Oryctolagus cuniculus: one gene and its partners. The protein of the gene in region 5 purifies or fractionates together with the protein of the main gene of each other region. This does not show direct contact. Links are inferred from orthologs where the notes say so. Each region holds a gene or a part of one and is shown on either strand. Other genes may lie near its edges. The genes, in order: STAU1, CAPRIN1, ATXN2L, IGF2BP3 and G3BP2.

Region 1 (6,179 bases), on a different chromosome or scaffold from region 5:
GGACGGGAAGTGGAGCAGCTGGTGGGATGGCAGCATAACTCGCTGATTCACAAAGCAGGTTCCCCACCTCAGTCTTCTGTCCAGAGGCAGATACGGTGCCACTTCACTCCTATCATTGCAGACCTGTGGAACACAGAAGCACCCTGTCGGTTAACAAACACCCACGTGTTCTGCACTTGTCAAAGCTTTTCTGGATTTTTTTCTGGCCAATTTTATTGATTTTCCCCAAAGAGATAACTTCATTTGATGAATTTTTTCTATTGTTTTTCTGCTCCCAATTTCATTAATATCTTTTCTTTATTATTTCCTTTTGTTTGCTTTGGTTTAATTTGATCTTCTAGTTTTTTTTTTTTTTTTTAAGATTTACTATTGTTTTTGCAAGTCAGAGGTAGAGAGAGAGCGGGACAGAGAGAGAGGGATCTTCCATCAGCTGCTTCAGTTCCCAGATGGCCACAACGGCCAGGGCTGGCCAGGCCAAAGGCAGCAGCCAGGGGCTTCTTCTGGGTCTCCCAGGTGGGTGTCAGGGGCCATCCTCTGCTGCTTTCCCAGGCCATTACCAATGAGATTGATGAGAAGTGGAGCTGCTGGACACAAACCAGCGCCCATATGGTATGCAGGTGTTGCAGGTGGTGACTTTACCAGCTCCGCTCTAACACCCGCCCTTTCTGGTTTCTTAAGGTGGAAACATAATTGATTTGAGACTTTCTGCTCTTCTAAATTAAACGTTAATTGCTACAACTTTCCCTCTAAGTATTGTGTTAGCTGCATCCCCCAAAATTTAAAAATGTTTTTGTTTTCATTTTATCGAGGAAGAGAGAGAGAGAAAGAGAGAGAGAGAGAGAGAGAGAGGGAGAGGGAGAGAGAGATTCTTCTTTTGCTGGTTTACTCCACAAATGCCCACAACAGCCAGGCTGAAGCCGGGAACCAGGAAGTCCACCTGGGTTTCCCAGCTGGGTGGTAAAGACGCAGGTGCTGGAGCTATGACCCGCGGTGCGTTAGCTGGGAGGTAGAGCAGGAGCAGAGCTGACTCGAACCCAGGCCCCCTGATGTGGGCTGTGGGAGCCCAAGTGTGGCTGGACTGTTGCTCTCCGATGCTGCCTGGCCACCTCATTTTTGGAGAGAGGTCACAAAGCCAGGTTACTATGTGTTGAAATTGTTCAGCCGTTAAAAACTAACAAAACCAAAGACAGAGAGGAAGAAGAGGAAAACAGCGCGAACAGTCACTCCACAGCGCTCATTTGAGGACCACTGTGTTAACCAAGGCACAGGTTCGTCGTGGGGCTGCTGGGTGTGGGAGGGGAGCCTTAGACGTGTTTTTCTTTTTGTACTTAGGGACTGGCAGTCACATCTTTTTTCCCAAAGGCCTCAAGTCTTCTGGGCTGTTGCCAAGTAATTAAGGAATTATTTTTCTTTGTTTCAGGATGAAGATGGAAATAAGAAACTGAGCACTGGAGATGTTACTCCAAATTCTGCCTGCTCCTTCCCGCAAGATAAGTTATATAGGAATGGGCAGAGCGCATAAAGTCCCCGTGAAAAGTTGGCTCTCATCTAAAATTACACTGCTGTTTCTGTTAGAGTGGGCACTTGCTGTCAGTGTACGGAAACAGAAGAAAGTCGGCCTGGAAGTGATAGGCGGAGCCCTGGGGTCCTAACGCGCACAGCCACATCATCTTTTCGTTTGTTTTTTTAAGCTTTATTTATTTGAAGGAGAGAGTCTGCCATCGCAGGTGCCTGACCGCTCCCCTCGGCGCCGGCCCCTATCTTGCCTTTCAGTGCACCTAGCAAGTTAATGATTTTATTCGCGCCTTTTATCCGCACTGGAACGTAAGCTCCATGAGGGCACGGGCGTTTGTCCGTTCCGTTCTTAGCTCTCGGGGCAGCGCCTCGCACATGGCGGAGGAAGGAGGCCCTGAGGGCGGGAGCGAAGGGAACGACACCTGCGAGACGAGAGGACGGACTGAGAGAAGGAAGAAGGAAGTGCGGGAGGCCAGAAGGCACGCGCTCCGCCTTCCCGCTCGGGGCCCGGCAGAACTACAACTCCCAGCAGGCCGCTGGCCCAGGGCGGGCGGCGGCCACCTCGCCGCGACCAGGCCCCGCCTGCCGGCTCCCGGTGTGCCTTGCGGGCGCCGGCCCCGCCGCAGCGCCCGCCGGGACTTGTGGTTTGGGCCGCGGGTGGGGGTGGGGCCGGGCCTGGAGGCGGGCGGGGGCCGGGGGCGGGCGCCGGCCCCTCCCCCGTCACTTCCTGCCGGGCTGCGGGCGCCGGAGCGGCTCCTCAGCGTTTGCGCCGGCCGCCGTCGCTTCTTCTCTCGGCTTCCCCGCTTCTTGGACCCCCCGGCCCGGCGGCGGCGCCCGCCTCCTCCGCAGCCACTCCGCCTCTTCCCACCCGCCGTCCCTTCCTCCTCTCCCTCTTCCTTCCTCCTTCCCCTCGTCGCCGCCACCACTGCCGCCGCCGCCGCCCAGGACCGCCGGCCGAGGGGCGAGCTGAGGGCAGCAGCCAGGTGAGGCGGCCGGCCGAGCGCGGCGGGGCCCGCGCGGGCGCGGCGGCCACGGGGCGGGGGGCGGCGGGCGGCGGGCGGCGGGTGGGGCCTAGGCCTCGGCGGGCCGCGCGCCGGCCTCCTCCCCCCGGCCCGGGCCTGCGTCCCGCCCGCGGGGCCTGCCCGGGGTGGGGGAGAGGCGGGTCCTCCGGCGCCCCCAGCCCCGCCGCCGCTTTCTCGCCGGGGCCGGGAACAGGTGCCTGGCGCCCTGCGCTGGGCGGGCGCGCGGGGACAGCGAAGTTCCTGCCGGGCTGGTGGTGTCCCCTCTCCAGCCCTCGGGGTCCGGAGCGTCCGCGTCGTGCGGCGGGCACGGCCCAGGTGTCCGGCCCCGGCGCGGCCCCTTCAACTCTTTGTGTGGGCTGGGGAGAGGGGCGCCGAGACCGTCCTGCCGCTTTCTGGCTGCGGAGGTTCGGGGAAATGGGGCGTGTGAAGCGCTTATCGGAGCGCCAGACCCACAGCGTGTCCCCAATAAACCGCCTGCATGATTGATTGGCGTGATAGGAAGGTGTAATTTAGTGGGGCGAGTGGACAGAAGTTGACCTACCTAGCTGCCTCGCTGCCCGTGCGCGAGTGGGGGAGGCAGCGGTGTTCGGCGTGGCCCCCGCCGGCGCCGGGGGCATTGTTTTGGGCTCAGGGCTGGAAGGGGGCGAGCCCGGGCCGGACCCCCTGCGCGCCAGCCGCGGGTCCGCCTTCCCCGTGGTCGTCCCGCCTCTAGGAAAGTTGCTGGCAGCCGCTGCCCCTGCGCCGGGCGACGTGCTTGTCCTCGGGCCGGGGCCGGGGCCGGGGGCGGTGGACGGACGGCGCTGGGCGAGCGTGCCTGTCCTCGGGCCGGGGCCGGGGGCGGTGGACGGACGGCGCTGGGCGAGCGTGCCTGTCCTCGGGCCGGGGTCGGGGCCGGGGGCGGTGGACGGACGGCGCTGGGCGAGCGTGCCTGTCCTCGGGCCGGGGCCGGGGGCGGTGGACGGACGGCGCTGGGCGAGCGTGCCTGTCCTCGGGGCCGGGGCCGCGGGCGGTGGACAGACGGCGCTGGGCGAGCGTGCCTGTCCTCGGGGCCGAGGGCGGTGGACGGACGGCGCTGGGCGAGCGTGCCTGTCCTCGGGGTCGGGGCCGTGCCCCTGCCTTGCCGCGTCGGCGTGGGTGCAGGCTCTCGGCTGTTCGCGCGCAGATGCGCGTCCCAGCCGCCTGCCCCTGTTCTCTGGCCGTGCGGAGGGCTTTGGGGTCGCGCTGCCGTGCTGCGCGTGTTTTTGTTTAGAAGCGGGCGGACGGAGTCGAAGTACGGTTTTGCAGGAAGGGACCTCTGCTTACGTTGCTACTTGTTGAAGCAGAAACTAAAAATACAGCCGGGGTGTGGAGGCAGCGGTTTGGCCGTCTGGGGACGGGCGCACCGAGTTCTGCTAATGCTGGGCTGCGTGGTGCGGCTGTGCCGGTCCTTGGGGAGCTGCGGCCGCCGAGGTGCTCAGCTTCGAGTTAGGACAGAGAAAACGGAGTGTGCGCGCCGCAGACGTCCGCCTAGACCTCGGCTTGTCTTAGTCCGTTTCCTTAGAGAAATGAAAATGTTTTGATTTACATCTCTCAATGCAAAGTGGCTTCCTTGTTAGGTTTTTCTAGAATTTTCTGACACAGTGTCACATTGCTTCTGATTTAAAATTTGACGTTTTAAAAACAGCTAAACAGACAACTCTGCAAACAGTAAAAAGCATGTTTTCTGCTACCTTGTGGTAAGTTGTGCTAGGGAAGTTTTAATATTGCAGTGGGTAACATAAAGCTGTTTTTAAACTTTTCACTGTGGAAAATACATGAAAATTGACTAGACGACTTAGGTATTGTGTTTGTCGCTCAACTTCGGCAGTTTTTTTTAAAAAAATAGCTTCCATCCGCTGGTTCACTCCGCAGGTGCCGCACGCACAGCTGGGCCTGGGCCAGGCTGCCACGTGGGTGTCGGGGACTGCGTGCTCCATCATGTGCTGCCTCCTTGGCCCTCGGCCGAGGGGCAGGCAACCCCGGCTCCAGTGTGAGAGCCCCAGCTCTGACAATGATTAACTTACAGTTAAGAGCAGTCTTGTACCTCCTCCCCCAAACTGTATTGTTTTGAAGCAAATCTTAAACATCGTATCACAGTGTTAGAGATTTTGACTTTTACCAGAATGCTCCTAAAATGTGCTTTTAAAAGAATCAGTTGTCATTTTGTTTGCTTGGCTTCTCATCTCTGAACAGATTACTTGGTTACTGTGCAGTGGGGAAAAGACTAGCAGCTGAGCTAGTTTTGATCAGTGCTGTCCCGCTCTCAAAGTCAAATCCCAAATGTGGCCTTGCTTCTCTGTGTGCAAAAGTAACTCTTGAGCCATGAAAGACTAATTGAAGAGCCATCAGAAAGACAGATTTCCTATCCCTTTGTTGGTGGAGACCTACCTGCTAGGCCCCTTTAAATAGGCAGGAGCTTTGTGTCAAAGTTAAACCACAGTAATGCACCATGAAGCTTCCCAAAGTTTCTTTAGCTGGTTGTGTAAATAAATGCCGTCTCAGTAAGTATTAAGCGAAGGATGTTTGATTTCAGAATCTTTGTAGAATTGTTTTCCAGAGTCCCCATCTGCTCTATTTACAAACAGCACATTGTTAGTAATTATGAGTGGAATCTTAAGTTTTGTGACTAGTGTGAAATCAAAATAAGTGTTCATATTTTTCTTGTTTAAAAGGAGATCTCTCCTAGAAGTATTATAAATATTTGCTATTGTTACGTAATTTTCAAATTTCTGTCCTGAACAGTTTCTAGTTTGACTTGTAACATTGTTATTTCATTCTTGTGGGTTTTCATTGAAGCTTGATCAGGGGTACAGTGGAAACGTTATATATTATATTTTAGTTACTACAGCCTGGGAGATTTGGAAATTAAAATTAATCTGAGGAAAAATCTGTTGAGTATCTAGGGGAGGACACAACATTTATTTTTTAAACAGTGCTTAGTGCTTCCTATCAGGCTTACCAGTAAAACTTTTAAGTGTTTAGAACTGTTACCATAAATAGCTGCTTCAGGATAAATTGCTGTCTTTTAAGATTCAGCCAGAAAACCCACTTATACACAGATTATTTTAAGTTTAGAAATGAACGTGACTCACAGAACTTTTCCTCCCAACTCTGAAGTCCAAACGGTTGATATTATTCTGAGGGTAATCATTAAACAGCGGCCTAGACTGTGCTGCCCATCCCGGCTCTTCCCCAGGTACCGTGCAGGCTTTAGCGGGGAGGCGCAGTGAGTCTCTGTGTAGGGCAGCTTCTTGGACACTGTGTTTGCTGAATGGAGTCAAAATGAAATTCACCAGCCTAAAGACGAGACTTTGTGTGACGTCCTAAGTCAGGTTTGGAGACCGTGTTTTTCCGAGTCTGAACGAGATCGTCTTATTTGAACTTACACTTGTGACACAGACTGCTCAGTCTGGGAAATGTAAGTTCCTCCCCCTAGAGGAGCGCTTTCGGGACTGCTTGCTTTTTCTCAGAAAGGGATTTTCTGAGCCATCAAACATGTTTAGAGAATTTTATGACAGATTTGTTTTACTCTAGACCCCAAACAGGTTGTTTTAAATTACCTTCTGGTGGAGATCTCTGTGGTTGAAATGCTCCTGGGGTAATTTTCTGTATGAGCATTTCTTT
Region 2 (6,177 bases), on a different chromosome or scaffold from region 5:
GGAAAGGCAAAGTGCCCTTGTGCCCTTTCTTTACCACACCTTATTACAAGTCCTCTTCCATTCACAACTGAATCACTGGAAGTCTAAGTCTCTGGTTCTCATACTTTACCATGCGTCAGGATTACCTAGTAGGGTTGTTAAAGCACAGACTGGGGGGCCAGCGTGTGGCAGAGCAGGTGAAGCCGCAGCCTACAGAAACAGCAGCCCCTGTGGGTACTGGTTTGAGTCCTAGCTGCTCCTCTTCTCATCCAGCTCTTTGCTATGGCCTGGGAAAGCAGTAGATGGCCCAAGTGCTTGAGACCCCACACCCACTTGGGAGACTTGTAAGAAGCTCCTGGCTCCTGGCTTTGAATCCACTCAGCTCTGGCCATTGTGGCCATTTGGGGAGTGAACCAGCGGATGGAAGACCTCTCTCTCTCTCTCTGTTTCTGCCTCTCAAAGAAATAAACTTAAAAAAAAAAAAAAAAAAAAAGACTTGGGCTCCACTTCAGGAGTCTGATTCTATAGCTCTGGTATACCAAAAGGGTATTTCATGTACCATCTCAAAGACACTGACAGGTCAAGTTCCAATGAGGTGATTTTTCAAACTGTAATGTATATACACACCTGCAGATCTTGTTAAAATGCAGGTTCCTTCAGTAGGTCTGGGTTGGGCTGAATATACTTGATTGCAGGAAGCCAAGGATTATAATCTTACTTTCTAGCCTCTAGGTCTAGCATAATTGTTCATCACAGTGCCAAGAATAGTTTAGGTACTTAAATCTTGAATAACCTAAGGCCAATTTCAATTTCCCTCACACCTAACATATAACTGGTTAGCACATCGGGTATAAGGAATGCAACCTCTTATCACCACCTTCTCTGCTACACCCTGCCCTGGCTACCACATGTGGGCTGAGCTATTTCAATAGATTCCTAACTGGTCTCCTAGCTTCTGCTCTTGCTCCACCCTCACTTTCACTACCAAAACACACATACTGTAAATTCTTCACACAGTAGTAAGAGTGATTTCAAACACTGGTTGACACCCCCCTGTTTGAAATGATGACTCCTCATTGCACTCACCGAATGCCAAAGTCTACGTCCGCTATCGGCCCCTGTAAGACTGGCTCCCTTTTAGGTCTTTCACCTTCACTCTGTGCTGTGGCACTCGGACCTCCTTGCCTTGAATCCACCAAACACACTCCAGCTCAGTGTTTGGTGTTCCCCTACCTGGAAAATTCTTCCTCCAATGAAGCTGCTTGGCCTTCTACCTCACCTCCTCTGGTCTTGGCTCAAATGTTACTCAGTAGGCTTTTCCTGACAGCACCCCCCCCCCCGCCCCTTTACAAAATTTGTTTTCTCCTCCAATACTCTATTTGACATATATTTACTTGTTTTTCGCTACTCAAGAAACTGAGTTCCATGAAGATATTTATGTTCCCAATCCCGAGCACTGACACTTCCGGCATGCAGGCGGGTGCTCAATAAATATTTGAAGGAATAGATAACACTTTGCAGCTAAGGGGAGTATCTTGAGACCAGAGGCTGCCCCAGGAAGCACCGCTGGCCAGCCAGTGTTACTCACTGAAGTCCCCAGGGAACAGTGGGTCCGCTGGAACCCTCTTCTACATCCCGTCCGCATGGAATTTGAATCATAGATTGGTCCTTTACTGTTGTCCTACAACATTATGATGCGGAATTTCCCACTGATCATATTCCCTTTAATACACTGCTTCCAGCGCTTGGCTACTTATTTTCTGCTCACTGCCCACACCCACCCCACCCCAAGGCTGGAATAATCCTCTTGGATTTTTAAAATTTCATTCAACTTTTTGTTTTAGGCTGACACAAAGGGGGAAAAAAAGCCGAATAATTCCCAATACTCGGGTCTACCGGATACATTTCATGCTAGGGTAGCTGAAGATCAAGTTTCGCGTGCGCGTGGAGTCCTAAGGCTCAAAATGCCATGGGTCATGCCCATTCCCGGCGCGTTCCACAGGGAACTCCTAGGTTACCGGGTGACTGGAGAAAAGGGTCTGGCGTCTGTTTTGAAAACACCTTTTGAGGTGCGCGAGTTTGCTTGCTCTGTATTCGGGAATACTGGAAGCTGAGATTGCAGCACCCACCCCACGCACCCCTTACTTGCAGAAACCTCTGCCCCCCCCCCTCAACCCCCACCCCCACCAAATAAGGGCTCTTCCTAGGGCAGTCGCCAGCTCCGGAGCCAGCTGCTTGACACCTATTGTCCCCGTTTGGACGCCAGGCGACTTCGCCTGAAGGACCCTAGCTTCCATTTCGCTCCAAATGCCAAAGCGGCGCCACCGCGGCCTCCCAGGGCCGCCCCGCCCTGGGCCCAGGGGTCACCCCCGCCAGCGCAGGTGCTGGGGCTCTTAGGGGAGGCGGCCGGGCCGGCGCTTCCGGGCAGGCGTTCGCGCCGGGCAGCCCCAGCGGCCGAGGAAGGCCCCGCTCGCACGTCTCCCGCCCCCCGCGCCCTAGAGGGCTGGCTGGCTGGCTTAGTCCCTCCCGCTGCCGGCTCTCGCCTCACTAGGAGCGGCTCTCGGTGCAGCGGGCACAGGGCGGAGCGGCCTGCGCCCACGGAGCGCGCGACACTGCCCGGAACGCACTTGCCACCCTTTGTCCCCCTCAGCTGCCCACTCGGGATCTCCAGCGGCCTCCACGCGCGCACGGTGAGCGCCAGCCCGGACCGCGGAGGCGCTCAAGGGGAAGAGGGCCGCTGCGAAGAGTGTCCTTTACCTCCGCATCGGCGGGAGCTTCGCGAGGGGCTTGCTCCTCCAGTCCTCCCCACCCCCAGCCATTTCCAGTGCCCTTCTCTACCCGCCCCCCCCACCCCTGACCTCCGTCTCCCCTCCCCTCCTCGGAAGGCGGCGCGTCCCGGCCCGCCCGGTGGGGACCGTTGCACTGGCCGTTGGCGGCCGGCGCGGCGAGGCCCCGCCCCCGGCGCGAGCCTCGGTGCCCCGGGGCGGGTAGGCCGAGCGGCGGCTCGCGCGGGGGAGGGGGGGGCGGGGGGCGGCGCGAGGCCGGCCGGGCGCCCCGCTGGCGGGTCGCGCGCGCGCGCCCGCGCTCTCTTCCTGCCCCGGCGTCGTGCGCGCGCGCCCCCTCCCCCACCCGCTCGCGCAGGCTCCCGCCGGCTGCGCGTTTTGTCCCGCGTCTCGCCCCGTCCGTCTTCTGACTTGGCCGCTCTTGTCCTTCCTCCCGCTTTTTCTTCTCTCCCTGCACGGTCTGAAGATGCCCTCGGCCACCAGCCACAGCGGAAGCGGCAGCAAGTCGTCCGGACCGCCACCGCCGTCGGGTTCCTCAGGGAGTGAGGCGGCGGCGGGGGCCGGGGCCGCTGCGCCGGCCTCTCAGCACCCCGCAACCGGCACCGGCGCCGTCCAGACCGAGGCCATGAAGCAGATTCTCGGGGTGATCGACAAGAAACTTCGGAACCTGGAGAAGAAAAAGGTGCCAGGACCCGGCGGGAGAGGGAGGGTCTGCTGCGGCCGGGCTCTGCGCGCCCCCCCACCCCCGCCCCCAGCCGCTGGAGCTGCACTTCCTGCCGCTTTCCTGGGTCCCGGGCCCCCACGCCCAGTCTCCGTGGTCAGCGGGAGCTTCGTGCCGGAAAGCGGGCTCCTGGGGGAGGTGCCTGTCACCTGACCCGGACGCGCTGCGGCCCCGGGGTCTGCGTGCGACTCGGGCTTCCTGGCCTTCGGGCTTGGCGAGTGTGCGGGCGGGGGCCTGCCGCCGCCTCGCAACTGTGTGATGCCCTTGGCCCCCATCCGACGAGGCCCGGCTCCTTGGACCAGGGCCAGCGGGGAAGGCCGAGGAAGTGCCGGGGCGGGGGGCTCCGGGCTCAACCGCCTGCCTCGTGGAGTTGGGGCGGCCCGTGTCGCACAGCCCCGGGGTTGTCCGCTCCGTTCCCGTGTGCTCCGGCCTGCTGACCGTCCCCTCTTCCTCCTCGGGGAGAAGCGTGTTCCGCATCTCAGAGCAGAATGGCCCGTGTTTCCGTGCGGCCCGTTCTGAGCGGGCCTCGGCCGTGCGTGCGCTGCCCTCCGCCCCCAGCCACCGGGCTCCCCCACGTTTCCCTCTTTGTTTCAATTGTCTGGGTGTCCCCCGGGCCTCACGCGCAGCCGGATCGTGGGAGGACTTCCCGCAGCGACTCTCCGCTCCCGGGGACTGAGGAGGGGCTGGGGCACCGCCACGGCGGAGGCTGGCCTGGGGGGGTGGGTCCGGCTCGGCCTCCGGGCGTTCGCTGGGTCTCCGGGCACATGGAGAGAGTCTAACATGGCGGCGGCTGCGGGGGGAGGGCAGCGCTGTACTGGAGCTGCATTGTGAGCACAAAGCGAAAGCAGAGGGGGAGGGCCGAGGCCGGCAGCCGCCGGACTGGCCTCTCGCGCCCCCCCCTCCAAAAGTAATCGAGCCACACCCACTGGTTTTGGATTCAGCGTTTGGTCATTCTGGTCCACTCCGGAGGGCTGCCTTCCAGGCGGCCTTTTGTTTTCTGCTCTCTGCGCAGGACAGTGTCCCAACTCTGCTTAGCAGGGGTGTGTGCGTGTGGATGGAGAGGGGCTCGCAAGGGAAGGTTGGAGGTGGAAAGGAAGAAGCAAAATCGTCGTGGAAAAAATGGAGCAGTTACATCGGTGGCTGTTAATGCTCACTCCCTTTTACAGCATAACTTTACTTGTCCGCCCCCGGTACCACCTATTCGTGATAACAACTCGCATTTTTGAGGATATTTAAAATTGCTTAGTTAGCCGTTCACCTTATAGTGTTACTTAAGGTGTTGAGACAGTGTGAATGTATGGCAAAAATTTGAGCTTAAATGCTTATAATGGCTTATTTACTGACTTATTTTACTTTTTGAGGGGGATTTTAAAACAAACTGTCTCTCCTTAAGTAATAAAGGTTGGAAATTTTACTTGGCATTTCAAGGACTTTATTTGAAATTGAGAAATGAAACAATCTTAGGATGTCTAGGTTTGTTTTTTTGGGGGGGGAAGTAAATGTATTTTATTATTAGTGAACGGAATAATAGGCCTATCTGTATAGCTACGTTCAAATGTAGACTAAAACAAGCATGCCCAAGGCTAGTACCTTGAGTGTTGCCCATGGAATTTAATTTTATGCTATCCTATTTGAAAATGAGTTTAACTTTGGTGTCTTAAAGTCTTCTCAGTGTAATACACAGTCCTGTCAATCTGGCTGATGCTTGAATGCCTTAATTTTCAGAATTTCTTGGAAATCTTTTTTTAAGATAGGAATCAGACCATAAATGTTAATGACATATTTTCAGTATAGACATTTATGTTAATGACTGAAGAATAATTCTTAAAAGACAAATATGAAGTAAGGCACTGATAAATCGCCAGCTTAGTTGTGAAGTGACTTACATTCTGGTGTTCAGGTACATCTGAAAAACAGAAATTTTGTTTTTAAGCCCGGTGAGGACTTGAACCATGAAAGGTTTCCCCCATGTGTACAAGGTGTGTATACACTCACATCCCCTCCCTCCAAATTATGGGAGACAGAGTAATGTAATTATTACAGAGGTTGTTGACTGAGTTTATAAATACTGAGATTGCCTTGTAATGATAGAGATTTAACAAATTGCACAAAGTAACAAATATATTTTGCATATTTTTCCTGCCATTTCAGAGTTTTGGGTGCTAGATAGCAAGAAAGTCAAGTTACAGTTAAGTGAGGCGTCTTCATAAGCCAAAGCCTGAGTACTGATTGGTTAAATAGTCGTTATTGTAACTAAAACTGTATTTTACTTTTTTGCAAAATTCAGGCATACTCATTTTCCCCTAATTTAAACACATCCGGTTTTTAGTTTAAATTTCTTTTTCTTAATATCTAGCTGTTTTGGCTCTATGAGAGGATTTACAGTGATTCAATAGGAGTATTTCTAATGTACCTGAAATAGAACTTGCATTACAAATCAGTTTTGAATTCCTTTTTAGGAACCTTAATGGAATAAAGTAAGATAGCATTTACAACTGGACTTATTTTTGTATCAGCCCATTAGTAACATATTTGACTTGTATTTCAGTCATGACCTATTCATATTGGAACCTTCTGTACCAAAATATCCTTTCTTCCCCCTGTGGATTCTAACATCAAGTACCCTGATATAATTTACTCAATGGATATGTAGTATCATGTCAAGGCATAGAGAATTATAATAAATTTATTGTA
Region 3 (5,571 bases), on a different chromosome or scaffold from region 5:
GTGCAGGGGGCACAGTGGCCGAGGAACGGTTCGTGTCCACACGATCAAAGCGAGATCGTCCTGTGCTAACAGGTCCTCTTACCTGGGTAACATGGGCCATGTTGGTGAAGCCGTGGGGCAGCTGCTGGTGGGGGTGGATGGCATACACAGCGGCTGGCTGGGGGAAGCTGCTCTGAGGGGACTGGGCAGAAGGTCCCGGTGGCAGAGAGGGCGGCGTGCCTGTCAGGGCCCCTGGGTGGTACAGATTCTGCTGTGGCTGTCCACTGCCCAGGTGTGGGGCCTGCCCCGCCTGATGCTGCAGGGGAAGGGAAGGTAAGTGCCACCCACTCCTCTGTCCAGGGCCAGCCATCCCCTGTCTAGCCCTCCCTTCTAACCACCCTCTCCTGCCCCTCCAGCAGGCACCTGGACAGGACTGGGGGCCGCATGCTGAGACTGCGGCTGGCTCCCAGTAGGCGTGGTTGCCGGCTGCGGCTGGTGGGCGTGGAGCTGCGTGGCATGGTGCGGATAGGACTGGTGAACAGTGGCTGCGGGACAAAGGGAGACCCTGTGCTGAGCACGCCAGAAGCGGCGAGGGCCACAGCCCAGAGCGGGGGAGGGCACACAGGACTCACCATAAAGGGCTTGGGGGGTGGGCTGCTCTGCAGAAGGGTACTGAGGGGTGGAGGATGACACAATGGCCTGGGGGTGGCTGCCCGACGTCAGCATGCGTGGATTGCTTTGAAGCATGGGGGCAAACACGGGCTGCTGGGACAAAGGCGGGGTCAGCATGGCGGGCAGGGGAGCACCGCGTGCACCAACCACACTGCCCGTTACTCCTGAACGTTCATAACAACCCGACCAGGCAGAGAAGCCTGAGGCTCAGGTGCCCAAGGCTGCCACCATCCCCACCCAGAACACCGCCTGTCCTCCTGACCCAGTCCCGGAGTGAGGAGCTGGGGGGCCCCCTCCCCGCTTCCCTCCTGGGCTGCAGTCACCTGTGAGGGGTAGTGGGCCATGGGTTGCATCATAGCAGGCTGGCCTGGGAACTGCTGGGGGTTGTAGGGGATGTAGGAAGAATATGGTGTGGCAGCCACCAGGGGTGGGCCGGCGGCGGCGGCAGCCTGCATCATGGGCGGGGCTGAGGCTGGCTGGTGCTGGTCCGAGCGCTGGGGGGGCAGAGAGCCTGCAGATGGGGGCAAAGTAGCACAGAGCTCAAGCTCCGTCTGCCAGGAGGCGCCAGGCGGCCCCGCCGACGGCCCCTCCAGACCCTGCTCACCTTTTGCTCCCCGGTACTTGCCCTGCTGCCCAGGCACTGAATTGGATACAGGATATGGATACATCTGGGGCGCCTAGGGACAGACACAGAAGCGCTGTGACAGGCCGGGAAAAGCCCAGAGGCTGAGCTGGCGGCTCAGCCAGCTCAACCAAAGCCAGCCCTCCCTGCTGAGGTGCCCCGGCCTCTTACCTGCACAGCTGGTCCCATGTGAATCTGAGGTATGTAGGAGATATACTGGGGGCTGTAGAGCCCGCTCTGGCCTGTCAGCACCGGGATGGAGGGAGTTGAGTGAGTCCGGGGCCCTGGAGAAGTTGGGGTACTGGTGGATTTGTTCTGTAACAGACAAGGAGCGACATATCATTTCTGTCTGACCTCCGCAACAGCTACACAGCACCCCCAGATGGCTATGAACCAAACGTGTTGTGTGCTTTTGCTAGGACAAGCTCCACGCCAAACCCTGTGAGATGCACATTCTCCACTCACAGGTGAGGAAAATGGGGCCGGTTTCATTGGCTTGTCCAACATCACACCTCTAAGTCAGCGGCTGGGCCAGGTCAGCTGGCCTGAATGAAGCTTATTATTTGCAGCTTCCCTGCTCAAATAACCCCTGAACCAAATGCCAGGAACCTGAGAAGCCCTGAGCGCGAGCTGCTCTCCCCATACAAATACGGTGTTCCCCCAGCACTGCCAGCTGAGTGGCCCTGGGACCAAGTGCTCTCCACTGCTCCACTGTCCCCCAAGACTCCCCCACAGAAACCCAAGTCCATGTTCTCCCGTCCCATCTCACCACAGATAGCAGAGGCTTTGTAGGATTGAATTCCTTGGCATTAGGGTTCAACGTTGATTTCTTTACTTGTCTAGGAGAGAAAATGAGGTCAATCCTCACGGCTTGCCCCTTATCACCCAACGTCCCCACAGCTCCCACCCCACTTACTCAGCAACAGGGCCCTCATCCTTGTCATCTCCCTTGATGAGGCCCACTGGGGGGCTGCCAGTTTGGCTTGGACAAGGTGGTGGGGGCTGTTCTGGCCCCTCGGTGCCTCCAGCTGGTACCAGGGGTGTTTTGTCCTCTTTATCCGATACGGACTCTGTCTTAGAGGAGACCGGGGATGCCAAGGGCTCTGAGGTCAACAGACCATCGACCTCCTTTTCCTTCCCTTTGGCTTCCTCCTTTAAGATCCGAGGAGGAAAAGGATCCAGGCTGGTCTCAGGGGAGCTACTGGGCTGAAGCTGGAAGGAGAGAGACACACACAGCAATGTCAAGACTCCAGGCCCTGCCTCCTTTCACCCCCGCACAATGCTCAGCTCTCCTCCCTTACCTACCTACCCACTTTTTAGAAAACTATTTTCATTTTATTTCAAACTCAGAGAAAAAGGAAAGAGAGATCAATCTTCTATGTGCTGGTTCATTCCCTAAAAGGCTGCAAAAGCCAGGGCTGGCCCAGGCTGAAGCTTGGCGCCCAGAACTCAATCCCGGTCTCCCCATGAGGGTGGCTAAGCCATCTGCTGCCTCCCAGGGCGTGCATTAGCAGGAAGCTGGGTCGCAAGCGGAGAAACTAAGACTTGAACCAGGCACTCCTCAACTGAAACTGCTGCCCAGTCCTCACTTCTCCATCCTCCACATACCCTGCGACCGCTAGCAATCCCAGCTCACTCCCCTGCCCTCACCTTGAACTGGGCCCCAAACTTCCTCAGTTCTTCCAGCTGAAATCGTTTCTGTTCATTCTGAAGGCCAGGGACTACGAGAAAACAGTGGAAAAGGAAAAACAATACATTTCTTTCTTGAAGCTGGCTACCCAGCGCCAACAGCCCAGGCAAGAAGACAGCAGCTCCCGAGAACCCGGAGAGAAATCGGAATCAAAGAGCAGAGTAGTGCTGCCTTCGGAATCCCAGCCAGCTTTCTAACGGAAATGCTCTCCCCGCACAAAGGGGCACCAGGCACCGGCAGGAACCAAACCTCTCACCTTTCCCAGTTATCCGGGCCAGTTCCTGGGGCTCCAGAGTCCGGCCGGGTTCCTTGGCGGACAGTTCTTTTACTGAGCAAGGAGAGATGCCTGAAGGTCACCCTGTCCAGAACCCCACTTCACACTGTCCACACCCTCCACCACCCCGCTCTTACCATCTGTAGGGGCCAGTGAGATCTTTGGAGAAGCTGGGGAAATGGAACCCACGCCACCATCTGCGACGGATGAGGTCACAGGGATGGAGGCTGAAGAAGTTGCCACTGCCGAACCGATGGGAGGCTCAGGACAGGAAGCTGAGATTGGGGCAGGTGCAGCAGACTTGGGCGAGCGTGGCGGGTACATCCGGCCCACTGGAAGAAAAGGGAGAGCTATACAATGGTTACTGCTGTGAGCACGGGGCTCACCAAGAACACCACGGAAGTGCACCTATGACTCCCAAGGAGCTAACAGAAGCAGGTAAATGGCCTCAGGAGAGACAGCAATGTTTCCAGGGCAGTAGTGATTCTATACCAGCCCATTAAGAGTAGGCTTGGGGTTGGTAGAACGGTTTATATTTCAAAAGGAATTGGAAAATTCCTATGGCATCTCGTTTTAAAATGTTGGCAAAATCTAAAAAACAAACAAACAAACAAACAAAAAAACCACAGCTGCCAGTCAGACACACCCTGAGTTCCTGGACTGGGGTTTCTGCAGTAGGACAACTGAAAAATTCTTTTCCAAAAGGGGTAAACGCCAACCCTTCAGACCCCTGCCACCCAGCCACGGCCCACTGCAGCACTCCGACACCACACACCTCCGTCCTGCTACTGCTTCTCAGCCACTCCCTAGCACTATGAAGTCTTACCTGCAGGGGGAGATGGGACAGAAGCTTCCCCAGAGGGCCTGCTGCTGGGCGAGGACAGAGTCTTGGCACCTCGCAGGGGCCGCTGTGCCTTAGGGGACATGCGGGAAGGGCCTGTATTTTTTTTAAATGAAAATTGTAAGTAAGAAAGCAGAGCCGCAGTTCCTACATTACCACCAATGCACCGCCCTTCCAATTACCACCACACCGAGCCTGCTTCCTGAACTCACCTCCGTTGATGCCTCGTGCCTCGGAGCCTGGGCCAGGGCTGCTGTTGTCCAGATGGTGAGGGCCACGAGGCGGCAGAGCGCTCAGGCCGGGCCGGCCACCCCGAGAGCTGCTGCAGCGCACTCCTCCCCGAGGCCCCTCGCGAACACGCTGAGGCAGAGGGATGTACTTCCCTTCCCTGGGCGAAAGAGCGCAGTCAGGCCAGGCAGCCACACGCAGACTTCCGAAACATGAAGCCTCTCTCCAAGCCCTCCCCAGCTAACCGCTCCAGCTTCCTTCACTGTCTCACTTGAATGTCCTACGACTTCCACGCTCATGACCCTCTCTTACACAACCCTGACCCAACCAACCCGGCCAGTGCACCACAAGTCTACCGCGCCTGACCTACGAGAAAGTAAGCTCACAGTACAGCTCGAGCTGCACCTTTTACAAGACACAGATCACAGAGAGTCTAGTTTAATTTAGTTACCTATAACACGTACAAACATACAGGGGAAAAAATGTATGCTAGAAACGGAAAAAGAATCCCCCACCCCTCCCAAATTCCTAAGCTTTAAGTTGTTACCTTCAGCATTACTTAATGTCTTTACGCTTCAGTCTCCTAAATCTAGAAACTGGAAATCACTGTTTTAACCTACAACTCACTAAGGCCTAAGGCTCAAACATTGTACAAAGCGCTCGGCCTGGGCCCTGGACCCTACAGTGAAGCCCAAACAGCCCTGCCCGCCCCCAGCATTTGCCTGGACGCCAAGCTGGGGCTCTCGCGCCCGGAACTCTGCCGTTGGACCGCACTGTGCTTCTCCTCTTCGGTGCGCCCATCGTCATTCTCCATGGCGATCCGCAGGCGGTACTGGGGGCTGGACTCAATCTCTCGTGCCAGCTGGGCTGCGCGCAGCTCCCGCTGACGGAACTCTTCAGAGTTGTCCTTTTCTAAGGGCACCCTGAGACCAGCAGCATCCCAGTGCCAAGGACAAACAGGGGAAAAGGAAAAACATTTTCATCAGTCCTATAACCAATCAAGCATTCCCTTCAACAAGCCAGCGAGCATTTAAACCAACATCTTACTGGGGCCCAGGCAGAGCTCCCAGGCATGTCTGCATCTGAGAGGCACTTAGATGCTTATGCATTTTGCTTTTTAAGTACGGTATTTATTCAACAGGGAGAGAAAGGGAGAGAAAAAGAGGGAGGGAAGAAGGGAGAGAGAGACCAACGTGCTCCTATCCACTACTTGGCTCCCCAAATGCCTGCAAAGGCCAGGGCTGGGCCAAGGCTGAAACCAGGAG
Region 4 (6,058 bases), on a different chromosome or scaffold from region 5:
GCCTGGACGGCAGATCTGAGTTTGTGTGTGCGTCTGAGGGTCGGGTATTCGGTTTGTTACAGTAATACCCAGATGAAATTCACAAGCGCCTCAAGAACGCAGCTCATCACAAACAGCACACATTGGTTTTCAATTCCAGCTGTTAGATTTGCTTGGTAAAGACAGACAAGCACAGGCTAGTATTCATCGAAAATAAACAATATCCCTTGCTGTGGACGTAGGTATTTCCTTAGGTCTCGGCTTTAATAAGAGCAAATGCAGTCAGCAATGCAGAAGCCACCTTTCAGCCGATTTGGGGGCAGGCTGAATATATAAGTAGAGCTTGTTCTTAGGAAAAATTAAAAGATAAATGGCCAACAGGCTACAACATTTAGTGGTATTTATAAAAGCAAATAGTAAATGAAACGCATTTCAGGTTTTGATCACATGCAACAAGTACTTAAGGATTAATTCTTTGAATTTTGCATACCAAAAGTCATCAAAATCTTTTCAGAACTTTTTAAAAAAAGGGTGAAAAGAACAAGAGCTTTGAAAACTTAAAGCTAGTTGTAAATTCAGAGGAATTTCACCATTAAAATGTTCTTCCCAGATAAAGCTCATAACAGCTCCACAAGGGCGTTTTCCTCTCCCACAGCACAAAGTAAGAACGTTTTGCTGAATTAAACCTGAATGAAATTATTGTGAAAGCGTGTTTACAAAGTTGGATTTGCTTGGCAGGAGAGGAAAACCTGTTAGAAGACACAGCTGCTTTTAAAATGGATGATCTGACACCTTCCGGTTACTTAACATAAAATCATAAAGTAAGTTCCTTTTAAGAGACGAAACGTAAACACAATGCAAGAATTCCAGTGCTTCCAAAAAAAAAAAAAAATATCAGGTCCCGGTCACGCTTTATTGGGAAACACTTTTCAATGCCACACAGTATATAATGTGGTCGAAGAGTAGCCAACGGCACCGGCCGTGAGTTACCGAAGATGTTTGCAGCTACATTGCGATACCTTCTCTATTCACAACACATTTTCCTGCCGCCGAGAACACCGAGTCATTAAAGATCCCAGTGCCTGTTCCCGCGCTGCGTAGGATTTCATTCACTTTAAAGACGAGCGTTTTCCATCTCTCCCCTGGACTGTCTGCTACGAGCCCATCCCAGGGCTCCGGTGCACCCGAAAGACCCTCGCAGGCTCCCCGCCCGAGGCCCTCCCCCACTCCCACCATTGTGCTCGCCCCAGGCCGGCGAGAGGCGCAGGGCTCGCCCCGCCGAAGGCGCGCACCGAGGCGGCAGGGAGCGGCTCGGGCCATTTTGCAAGTGAGGCTGCCACCCAGGACTGGCGCGGGGCGGTCTTCCCCCGCACGGCTCCCAAGTTCTCCAACTGAAATCGTCTCCATAAAAGTGCCAACCCGCCTCGCCGCCCCGAGATCGCGGTGGGGGGGGGGGGTCTCCCGCAGGCCGCCCCTCCCCCACCGGCGGCCGGGCCCGCCCCCGGCCTCATTTATCCCGGAGCCTTTTCCGAGCCGCGCAGCCAATGGCAATCGCGAAGCCGAGAGCCACCGCGAGCGCAGGCGGAGGAGGTGTCGCGCAGACGCCCGCCCCGGACGCCGCGCCCCTCCCCCGCCGGCTCCGGGGGCGCGGGGCTCGGCCCCCCGCCCCTCGCCGCGTCCGGTCCCCGCCGCCGGGGGGCGGGGCGGGGTGGGGACAGGCCCCGGCCCGCACCTCCGGCGTCTTCCAGGCAGCCAGGCGAGTTGGGGACGGTGACTCTCGGCCTTGGTCGTTCATCACCTATTTGCAAAAAAAAAAAAAAAAAAAAAAAGGAAAAAAATCGAATAATTAAAAACTGCGGTTCCGAGAGCCGGGGAACTGCCCAGCAAGCAACCCCAACCCCTGCACCCTGGAAAATAAAATCAATGCCCCGGCCTCCCCCCACCCCTCGCTCCCGCCCCGCCGGCCCCCGGGCAAACTCGGCGGCGCCCCCCGTCCCCCGCCACCCCGGCCGCGCCCCTCCCCCACGCCGCCCCGCCCCCACCCCACCCCCACCCCCACCCCCACCCCCACCGCCTCTCGCTCTCTGCCTCCTCTCCTCCGAAACCCACTCTAATTGAGGCGCCGGGATTCCTCACGTGAGACGTTGATTTGTAGCTTGAACACGTGGCTCATTCAAAAAGCCGGGCCCTCGCCGTGGATTCCTGCGCCCGCCCGCGCCCCTCCCGCGTGCCCGCCGCGCTGCGGGGGCCTGGTGGGGCGGCGCTGCGCCGGGCCCCGCGCCGGGCGCTATTTTCGCCGCGCGGCGGGGCCGGGCCGGGCCGGGGGTGGGGGGGGCGCCAAGTAGTTTCCTCCCCCGCCCCTCCCCCCGCGCGGGCTGGTCCCGCCTCCGCCTCTGCCTCCTCCTCCTCCTCCTCCTCCTCGGAGTTGGGAAGACTCGTGGATGCGCCCGGGCTGGGGCTGGGCTTTCTCTCTCCTCGCTCTCGGTTGCAGCGCCCGGGAAGGGGCACCCCGCGCCCCCCGGACCCGGGCTCGGCGCGCGCGGACCTGCGGGACCTGGCCCTCGCCGCTGCCGTGTTTTTCATTTTTTCGTCCCCCCACCCCACCCCGCGCTGTGTTCCTGTTTCCGAGCCGCCCCCTTTCGCGATGAACAAACTGTACATCGGGAACCTGGGCGAGGACGCGGCGCCCGCGGACCTCGAAAGTATCTTCAAGGACGCCCAGATCCCGGTGTCGGGGCCCTTCCTGGTGAAGGCGGGCTACGCCTTCGTGGACTGCCCGGACGACGGCTGGGCCCTCAAGGCCATCGAGGCGCTCTCAGGTGGGCCCCGGCCTGGCCGCCGCGCCCGGAGGCGCCACGGGACCCCAGGCCGGGCACTCAGCGCGCGGCGCGGGGGTCCAAGGGCCCGGGCCGGACGCGCTGTCAAGAAAGCCCCGCGCGGGCACGGAGGGGCGCGGGGCCGCGGCGGGCGCGCGCTCCAGGCCCCGCCACGCCGGGCCCGGGCCGGGCGCGGGCGCCTGCTCGCCCTGCTGCTCCCTGCGGGCTAACCTCTGCTCGCTAACTCGTGGCCTGGACCCGGCTGCCTCTCGGCCTAAGGGAGCGCACGGTATCCCGGACACGGGCTGCCTAGGGAGGCCGCGGGGCTGGTGCCTTGCACGGGCGGTCCCGCGCCGCCCCGGCTCCACCTCGCCCCGTCCGACGCGCGCCGGGGGCAGGTGGGCTCGGGCGGCGGCGGCCTCCGGGACTGGCGGGGCGCGCGCGCTGGTCCGGGGCGCGCGGGGCGACGAGGCCTGGGGCGGCAAGGTTGCGCTGGTTCCCTCCGAGAGCCCTGAGTCTTAGGGCTTCTCCTCCTACCGACTCAGCCTGGCTGTGGGCGCTCGGCTCGCCCTGTGCTCGGCCGCACGTCCGGCCGGCCCCGGCTCCGGCGCCAACGGTTCCCGGAGGGCCTGGGCTGGGACCAGAGAACAGGACTGGGCGCCCTCTCCCCCGAGTCGGCCCTGTGGGGGAGGGTCCTGGAGAGGCCGGAGAGACCCGGTGCCTGGCTGCCACCCGAGGGGCCCCCACTTCCCGAGGGGCCCGCTGCCCACCAGCGTAGCGGCGGCGCCGAGGCCTCGGGGCGGCCGGTGGCGCCGCCCAGGGTGTGTGGGGCTCGGGGCTCCGGCGACCCGACAGTCTCATGTCTCGTGTGTCCGCAGGTAAAACGGAACTGCACGGGAAGCCCATCGAAGTTGAGCACTCGGTCCCAAAACGGCAGAGGTGAGCGTCTTTATTCTTTTCTCGCCCCATTGTTGGGAGCCCAGACTCCACCGAGCGCAAACCCTTTCCCCGCACCCCGCCCCGGGCTCTTGGCCATTGTGCTGGCGAGGAAGGGGGTCTCTCGGAGGACGCTCTGGGCATAGCAGGTCTAGGTGGTGCCGCAGGGCGCGGGAGGCTGCGGCCGGCCCAGGTGCGGTGGGCCTGCCCGGGAGCCGGGGCGCGAGGCCGGAGCTCGCCCCTACCCTGCTGGCGCGCCGGCCGCGCTTGGGTCCCGTCCCGAAGCCTGGGCTTCCCGGCCCAGCGGAGCCTCTCTCGGCCCCTCCAGACTCACACAGGTCTTTGCCGACCGTGCCTTTGTCTCCCTCTGCGCCCCCACGCCCCCTGCCCCCTTTTTCCTGGGTCTCTCTTTGCTTTCAGCTGAGCCCCAGGGTGGTGAGACGGGGAGGTGGGTGCTAGCTCTGCAGGAGGATTTCTCCGAGAACGTGCGTAGCGTGCCTTTTTTGGGGCAGCGTTGTGCAGACTCCTCGAGCCTCTGAAGTGTTTTCCAGACCAGGCCGGATCGGGCTCTGTAATCCTGTGTGTGGCGCTGGGTTCTTGCAGGGTGGCCCTGGGGCTCCTGCTTCCCACCGCCCCACTCCTTGCCGGGGCCTGACAAGGAGCTCCAGGCTGCCGCGCCCCGGGGCCTGCGTACGTGCGGCCTGGCGTCGGGGAGAGCGAGCTGGGGGCCGCACGGTTCGCTGTGCGGACGCGCGCCGGCGTCCGGCCGCCCCTGCTTCTACAACCAGCTGCCTTCCGGGTAAAGCGTTTGCAAACTGAGTCTCGTTTCTAGGAATGAGTCGGCTTGGTTTTACGTGGAGGTCTCTGGTTTTAGGCGCTGAATTTTCGTTAGGATACGTAGGAAAGGGAGTAACCGATTAGATTTAGTTGTAGTTGGGAATTATGTTTAATTACATGAAATTATTTTTAAAAACCTGTAAAATAATAGAATTTGTACTGAAAAGTCTCAGTTGATGTTAATTGAACGGGACTTGAAGAAAGGAGAAGTCTTATCCCTCTAAAAAGAAATGTATACGTCTAGCATGTGAATTGTGAACCTAAATACACACACACACACACACCTCTACACCTGCAAATTCTAAATGATTTCAGAGTTTAAGCACTGTCTTAGTTTTCATCAAATGTTGAATTAAAAGTAAGAAAATGGTAATGCTTTAAGGACTGGCATTTTAACAGTGGAGAGTTTTAAATGTAAATACTTAGTGTCTTGTTTTCAGGTAGATTGGATTAACCTACATGCAAATATATGATGGCTTCACCCTCTTGCTTTTTGTTTCCAACTGTTGTGAATTTCTTCTCACTTGTAGGGGATTGAGAAACATCTTCTGGTAACAACTGCTTGTTTTAAAGGTTTTTTTTTTTGCCTAGCCCTGAACATGCTTGTTACTTTGTAATGGGCGGTAGTTCCTCTTAGCACATTAGATACAACGTTTCCAGAGGCAGCAAGTGTCTCTGTGGAAGTTTGTCAAGGTTGTAAACAAGGTGAATTTTCACTAGCATTATACTGTGTCACTAGCAGAGTGAAGGGGTGAATACAGTGGAAACTTTTTTATGCACTAATTTGAGAGAACAATCAAGGGCTGTAAATGCTTTGCTTGTATTAAAATGTCTTAAATAGGAGAATCCAGGAAATTTACTGGAAATTTATAGTACGATTTGGTTCCCGTGACCCTTGGAGCTGTAGTGCAGTCCTCTGTTTCTGGGCTGTTCCACCGCCTGCACAGGCTCCCGGGAGAGGGCAGAGAAGGCTTCCCTGACAAGCCCACGCCCAGTACTGTGGCAAAGCTGAGCAGTGGCACACAGCGGTGGAGCAGTGAGAGTGGCTTGAGTGTCACAGACTGCTGCGTGCCAAGCAAGCTGGCCGGACTTCTTTATGCTTGGCAGCCCTTCATTCCCGTCTGTCATTGTGTGCACATGAGGCCAGCATGCCCACATGTACAGCCGTGACCTTTCTACCTGCTGTGCAAGGCATCTTGGGAGCCTAGTGCTGGAGCATGCTTATGGCTGGTCTCTGAGATGGATGAATGGGCTTCAGCACCCGAGCAGGGCGCAGGCCCAGGAGGCAGTTGGATGCTTGGGAGGCTGGTCTAGCTCTGATTTTGAGCCAAGCTGGTGGTGTGGGTGGTGGTGGGGGAGGGCATTGTTGAGTTTGCTTGAGATCCAGCTTAGCTCCCCGAGATTACTTCTCTCCTGACCGAAGTCTCAAGGGAATGTGGAAGGAATGTGGCTTTTCAGCATTCAGATGCCCCTCAGTTTGGGAAGATTGT
Region 5 (5,571 bases):
TCTGCAAAATAGTAATATTCCTTGGTAAAAAGGTGACAGTGGCCTTGTTTATTACCTTGACAAGAGTTCTTTAGGCCTACTTTTTTTGATATGGAAATGAAAAACTTCTATTGAGAGTATTACTGATTTTTCTTTTGGGTGTGCCTTAGCAATTAGAAGGTAATGAGCTTTTGTAAGAATTAGGTGGTTAAAATGACTAATTTGTTTTATCTGTATAAAGTTAGATTTTGCCATTTGCCCTGCACTATTAAGCATATGTATAATATTCTCTGTCTTACCTGGAAGAAGCTCTTGGCTCCTGCCTTCAGCCTGGCCCAATCCTGGCTGTTGCAACCATCTGGGGAGTGAACCAGTGGATGGAAGATATCTTTCTCTCCTCTCTCTCCTCTCTCCTTTCTCCTCTCTGAACTCTGACTTTTGGATAAATAAATAAATCTTTAAAAAAATATATTCTGTCTTAGTCCGAGAGATATTTTTATATTTACTCTTTGTTGTCCTTTTCTAAGTATTTTTATATAGGTATATCACCTCATGTAATCTTCATGACTATCTAGGAAGATGAAGGTACTTCTGTTATCTCACTATGCATATCCAACTGCTAAGCCTTTGATTAGTAAGGATAGTAGTAATTCATCCAAGATCACTCAGTAAATAAATGAATTGTTATAGTCATTATTCAATCCCACTTCTTTTTTTCTTTTTTTTTTTTTTTTCTTTTTTTTTTGACAGAGTGGACAGTGAGAGAGACAGAGAGAAAGGTCTTCCTTTGCCGTTGGTTCACCCTCCAGTGGCCGGCGCACCGCGCTGATCCGATGTCAGGAGCCAGGTACTTACCTGGTCTCCCATGGGGTGCAGGGCCCAAGTACTTGGGCCATCCTCCACTGCACTCCCTGGCCACAGCAGAGAGCTGGCCTGGAAGAGGGGCAACGGGGACAGAATCCAGTGCCCCAACCGGGACTGGAATCCGGTGTGCCGGCGCCGCTAGGCGGAGGATTAGCCTAGTGAGCCGCGGCGCTGGCCGATCCATTTTCGATTAACTTTATACACAGGAGACCAACTCTATACTAAGTAAAGAGTTCAACAATTTGCATGGTTTAAAAAAAAAAAAACTGCTCTTCAACAGTCAAGACAAAGGGTTCAAAGTCATTACATCTTGAAGTTAATTTCACTTTTTTTTTTTTTAGAAACTTAATTAACTTTAAGGAAGCATCTAAGAATGATACATCTTTAGGAAGTACTTAGTCATGGTTATAATACAACTCTTTGAGGACAGAGGTCCTGCATGAGAAGTTAGTGCACAGTGACTCTTGTTATTAATTTAATAATTAACACTCTTAAGTGACATCAGTGACCATCTGAGGCTCTTGACATGAGCTGCCTAGGCTATGGTAGCCTTTTGAGTCCACAAACTTCGTCAATATTTAGAAAAGGCCATAAGCACAGTGGAAGTTCCCTCTTAACTTCAGAGAAAAGTACCTCCTTTGATGACCTCTTCTTTGCATTGGGGCCTCACCCACAGAGGTCCTTCATGTAGGACATTTTTTGCCTCAGTGTCTTGGCTTTCCATCTTACTTGTTTTATTACAATAGGTGCTGAACTCTATGAAAACATGAACATTGTATCTTTGATAACCTTAATTTAAAAAGATGTTAATTCTAATTGCTAAGTTTAGGTAATGTCAGAGAAAGACTATAATTTATCATATATTTAAGGGCGGTATAAAAATATTAACAAAAATTAAATTCTAAAGTAGTTGTTGATTTTTTTTTACTTGGTCTCTGAATTTGTTATTTTAAATATAACTTTTAATATAAGCCTTTTGAATTAATAACCATTTGAAGCTCTGGAGAGTGTTTGGGGAATTATTTGGGAACAACTGATTACCGAATGAATTTAGATAAGTGCATTTTTATATCAGAAAAAAATCTATAAAAGATGTGGTAAGAATTAGATGAGAATAGCTAATGATTATTAGATATGCTAAGCATTCTATGTGTGTTACACTCATTTAATCCTTAAAACAATCACATGAAAACAGTTAATGTTCTGGTTTTGTAACCAAGGAAACTGAACTTAGAGTTAAGTAACTTGCTCAACATTCAACAACTAGTGACATAGCTGGGCCTGGAGCCTAATCTGTTTGATATGTGGACCTTTTACCTCCTAGGCTTCTCTTGAGAATTCAGCATTAATCTTCAATTATTGATGGTTTTGCAGGTTTTATGGCAGGAATTCCTCCTATGTTCATGGTGGTGTAGATGCTAGTGGGAAGCCCCAGGAAGCGGTTTATGGCCAGAATGTAAGTACTGTGTCATAAGGATTTAGATTTTTGTTTTTGTACGTTAAGATAGATTTCAAAAGTAGCCTTCTTGTGCCCATGGATTTTTTTTTTTTTTTTCAATTTGATCAGTTGTAACTGGAATTTATATATCAGTAGTTATCTAGAGTGCTCTTGGTTCTTAAACATTCAATTTTTGGTAAACTGTGATACTACATTGAGATGGATACAGTGGAGAAGATGGGATGTTTTATATCCTTATTTTTTTTTTTTAAAGATTTCTTTATTTGAAAGTCAGAGTCACACTGAAAGAGAAGGAGAGGCAGAGAGACAGAGAGAGAGAGAGGTCTTCCATCCGCTGGCTCACTCCCCAATTGGTCGCAATGGCCAGAGCTGTGCAGATCCAAAGCCAGGAGCCTCTTCTGGGTCTCCCACGCGGGTCTAGGGGCCCAAGGACTTGGGCCATCTTCTACTGCTTTCCCAGGCCATATCAGGGGGCTGGATTGGAAGTGGAGCAGTTGGGACTTGAACTGGCGCCCATATGGAATGGCGGCATTGCAGGTGGCATCTTTATCCACTATGCCACAGTGCTGGCCCCATCCTTGGTATCTCTTATATGTGGAATACTTACGACAGTTTATTAAGTTTATATATATATCTGTGGTTTAAACTCTATGTTATAGGAATGCACGGAAATATTTGCTTCTTAGGACTTGAAAGGAAACCTTTGGAGAGATGTGGGACTTGACTTTACCAAACAAGAATAAATTGGAAAAAAATGCCATCAGCATGTACCAAAGTAAAGTAAAATTAAGTGTGAGGTCAAGGAGCAGTCAGTACAGTCTGTGAGGAGAGCTAAATGTTTATCAAAGAAAAATAGGAGAAAGCTGTAGAAAGCACAACAGGGAACTGTTGTGATATCTTACATAGAGAGGTGACATGTTGAAAATGGTGATTTAGAAATACCAGTCTGGCGGTGGTGCATAATAGCATAATGGGAAATGGATTCAAATGAAACAGATTAAGTTGTTAACATGTTAGAGTTCAGAGGCAATCAGTGAGGGCAAGTATACAGCATTGTGTAGGTAATGAGTAATCACATTTCCCCCCCCCCCTTCCTTATAAAGGATATACACCACAAAGTGTTATCTTTGAACTTCAGTGAATGTCACACTAAGATTCGTCATGTGGATGCTCATGCAACCTTGAGTGATGGAGTAGTTGTCCAGGTCATGGGTTTGCTGTCTAACAGTGGACAGCCAGAGAGGAAGTTCATGCAGACCTTTGTTCTGGCTCCTGAAGTAAGTTTCTGTTTTCTCTTAGCTTTCATTTATATAATTTAATTTGGCTCATATACTTGGTTGAATTGTCTAAGAGTTTCTTCTAATAGGCTTAGGTTTGCTTTTTTTTTTTTTTTTTTTTTTTTTTTTTTTTTTTTTTGGGACAGGCAGAGTGGATAGTGAGAGAGAGAGACAGAGAGAAAGGTCTTCCTTTTTGCCATTGGTTCACCCTCCAATGGCCGTCACGGCTGGCGCGCTGCGGCCAGTGCACCACGCTGATCCAAAGGCAGGAGCCAGGTGCTTCTCCTGGTCTCCCATGGGGTGCAGGGCCCAAACACTTGGGCCATCCTCCACTGCCTTCCCGGGCCACAGCAGAGAGCTAGCCTGGAAGAGGGGCAACCAGGAAAGAATCGGGCGCCCCAACCGTGACTGGAACCTGGTGTGCCGGCGCCGCTAGGTGGAGGATTAGGATTAGCCTATTGAGCCGCGCCGCCGGCACATATTGTTATTTTTAAAGAAGTTTTTTTGGGTCTGTTAAAATTTATTTGAGTTTGTATACATGTGTGCCTTGACTACTTGGGATTAAATCAGATAGTGATACAAGTGTGTAAATGAATGTTTAATTACAGCAATAATCAACAATAATACAGAAGGTATATTTGTATGTCTCAAAAGTTACTTTTTAAAGACTTATTTATTTATTTATTTATTTGAAAGGCAGAACCACAGAGGGAAGGACAGAGAGTAAGAGGTCTTCCAGCCACTGGTTCATTCCCCAGATGGTTGCAACTGCTGCAACTCTGTCATGCCCAGGAGCCTGGGGCTTCCTCCAGTTCTACACGATTCTGGGGGCCCAAGGACTTAGGCTATCTTCTACTGCTTTTCTAGGTGCATTTGCAGAGAGCTGGATTGGAAGTGGAGCAGCCAGGGATTGAACCAGTTGCCCATATGTATGGGATGCTGGCATTGGCAGGTGGCTGCTTTATTGGCTACCACCACAGCACTGGCTCTTTTCTGTTGAATATTCATTTTGTGAGGTCTGATGATCCTTGAATGAACTTTTTAGAGTTTACTTTATATTAACATCATAACATGATCTGCTCTGGAAAATTATATTGATTGCAGAATATTTATTAAGGAAATTATGTATGCCATGTAATTTGTTCTTTAGACATTTATGGATTATTTGCATGTTATTTTCCTATAGGGATCTGTTCCAAATAAGTTTTATGTTCACAATGACATGTTTCGTTATGAAGATGAAGTATTTGGTGATTCTGAACCAGAACTTGATGAAGGTGAGGTTACTTTGTTGATAGAAGGGCTCTACCAGTACTTTTAAGGACACTTTGATTTCTATAAGACTTAGAGAAATTTGCATCTACTTTTTTTTTTTTTTTTTAAAGATTATTTATTTGAAAGAGTTGCACAGAGAAAGAAGGAGAGAGAGAGAGGGGTCTTCCATCCGCTGGTTCACTCCCCAGTTGGCTGCAATGGCCAGAGCTGTGCTGATTCAGAACCAGGAGCCAGGAGCTTCTTCCCAGTCTCCCACATGGGTCTAGGGGCCCAAGGACTTGGGCCCTCTTCTACTGCTTTCCCAGGCTATTGCAGACAGCTGGATTGGAGTGGAGCAGCTGGGATTCAAACTGGTGCCCATACGGGATGCCAGCACTGGAGGCTGCAGCTAAGCCATGGCGCCCACTCCAATTTGCATCTATTTTAATTGAATCAACCTCCTTTACTCCTTATTTTTCTCTTTGTTACAAAAGGTATAGATGTTCATTATATGAAGTTACATAAAAAGCAGACATAGGAAGTGAAAAATTTTCTTCCATCAGTCTCATCCATGTTTGGTGCTAACTACAGAGTTGTTTTGGATCCTGTACTTAAAATTTTTATAGAAATGCTGACTCAAATCTTTTTTGCCCTTAATATATCCTTGTTGGCTGTCCATTTGGTGGCTTTGCCATAATTATTTTAATAAATTTTCCACTGAAGGGTACTGGATTGTTT

Evidence for each region.
Region 1: the proteins of G3BP2 (region 5) and STAU1 purify together in Homo sapiens (affinity purification with mass spectrometry; 3 studies listed by BioGRID and IntAct, with this or other methods). This does not show direct contact. The link is inferred for Oryctolagus cuniculus from reciprocal best matches to the Homo sapiens genes G3BP2 and STAU1.
Region 2: the proteins of G3BP2 (region 5) and CAPRIN1 purify together in Homo sapiens (affinity purification with mass spectrometry; 5 studies listed by BioGRID and IntAct, with this or other methods). This does not show direct contact. The link is inferred for Oryctolagus cuniculus from reciprocal best matches to the Homo sapiens genes G3BP2 and CAPRIN1.
Region 3: the proteins of G3BP2 (region 5) and ATXN2L purify together in Homo sapiens (affinity purification with mass spectrometry; 4 studies listed by BioGRID and IntAct, counting the BioPlex papers as one, with this or other methods). This does not show direct contact. The link is inferred for Oryctolagus cuniculus from reciprocal best matches to the Homo sapiens genes G3BP2 and ATXN2L.
Region 4: the proteins of G3BP2 (region 5) and IGF2BP3 purify together in Homo sapiens (affinity purification with mass spectrometry; 3 studies listed by BioGRID and IntAct, with this or other methods). This does not show direct contact. The link is inferred for Oryctolagus cuniculus from reciprocal best matches to the Homo sapiens genes G3BP2 and IGF2BP3.

The regions. Positions count from the first base shown.
Region 1 is NC_091442.1:11,269,837-11,276,015, forward strand, and holds the start of STAU1 (double-stranded RNA-binding protein Staufen homolog 1), read left to right. Parts: upstream 1-2,237; 5' UTR 2,238-2,498; intron 2,499-6,179. UniProt on the Homo sapiens protein: Binds double-stranded RNA (regardless of the sequence) and tubulin.
Region 2 is NC_091432.1:31,909,990-31,916,166, reverse strand, and holds the start of CAPRIN1 (caprin-1), read left to right. Parts: upstream 1-2,343; 5' UTR 2,344-2,669; intron 2,670-3,228; coding exon 3,229-3,444; intron 3,445-6,177. UniProt on the Homo sapiens protein: mRNA-binding protein that acts as a regulator of mRNAs transport, translation and/or stability, and which is involved in neurogenesis, synaptic plasticity in neurons and cell proliferation and migration in multiple cell types.
Region 3 is NC_091450.1:7,680,785-7,686,355, reverse strand, and holds part of ATXN2L (ataxin-2-like protein), read right to left. Parts: intron 5,230-5,571; coding exon 5,029-5,229; intron 4,467-5,028; coding exon 4,291-4,466; intron 4,175-4,290; coding exon 4,064-4,174; intron 3,588-4,063; coding exon 3,375-3,587; intron 3,292-3,374; coding exon 3,220-3,291; intron 2,995-3,219; coding exon 2,924-2,994; intron 2,486-2,923; coding exon 2,190-2,485; intron 2,113-2,189; coding exon 2,043-2,112; intron 1,589-2,042; coding exon 1,445-1,588; intron 1,329-1,444; coding exon 1,256-1,328; intron 1,163-1,255; coding exon 975-1,162; intron 745-974; coding exon 612-744; intron 525-611; coding exon 403-524; intron 296-402; coding exon 83-295; intron 1-82. UniProt on the Homo sapiens protein: Involved in the regulation of stress granule and P-body formation.
Region 4 is NC_091447.1:15,443,656-15,449,713, reverse strand, and holds the start of IGF2BP3 (insulin-like growth factor 2 mRNA-binding protein 3), read left to right. Parts: upstream 1-2,391; 5' UTR 2,392-2,623; coding exon 2,624-2,798; intron 2,799-3,022; exon of another isoform or gene 3,023-3,193; intron 3,194-3,673; coding exon 3,674-3,734; intron 3,735-6,058. UniProt on the Homo sapiens protein: RNA-binding factor that may recruit target transcripts to cytoplasmic protein-RNA complexes (mRNPs). This transcript 'caging' into mRNPs allows mRNA transport and transient storage.
Region 5 is NC_091439.1:90,245,479-90,251,049, forward strand, and holds part of G3BP2 (ras GTPase-activating protein-binding protein 2), read left to right. Parts: intron 1-2,217; coding exon 2,218-2,299; intron 2,300-3,405; coding exon 3,406-3,579; intron 3,580-4,765; coding exon 4,766-4,856; intron 4,857-5,571.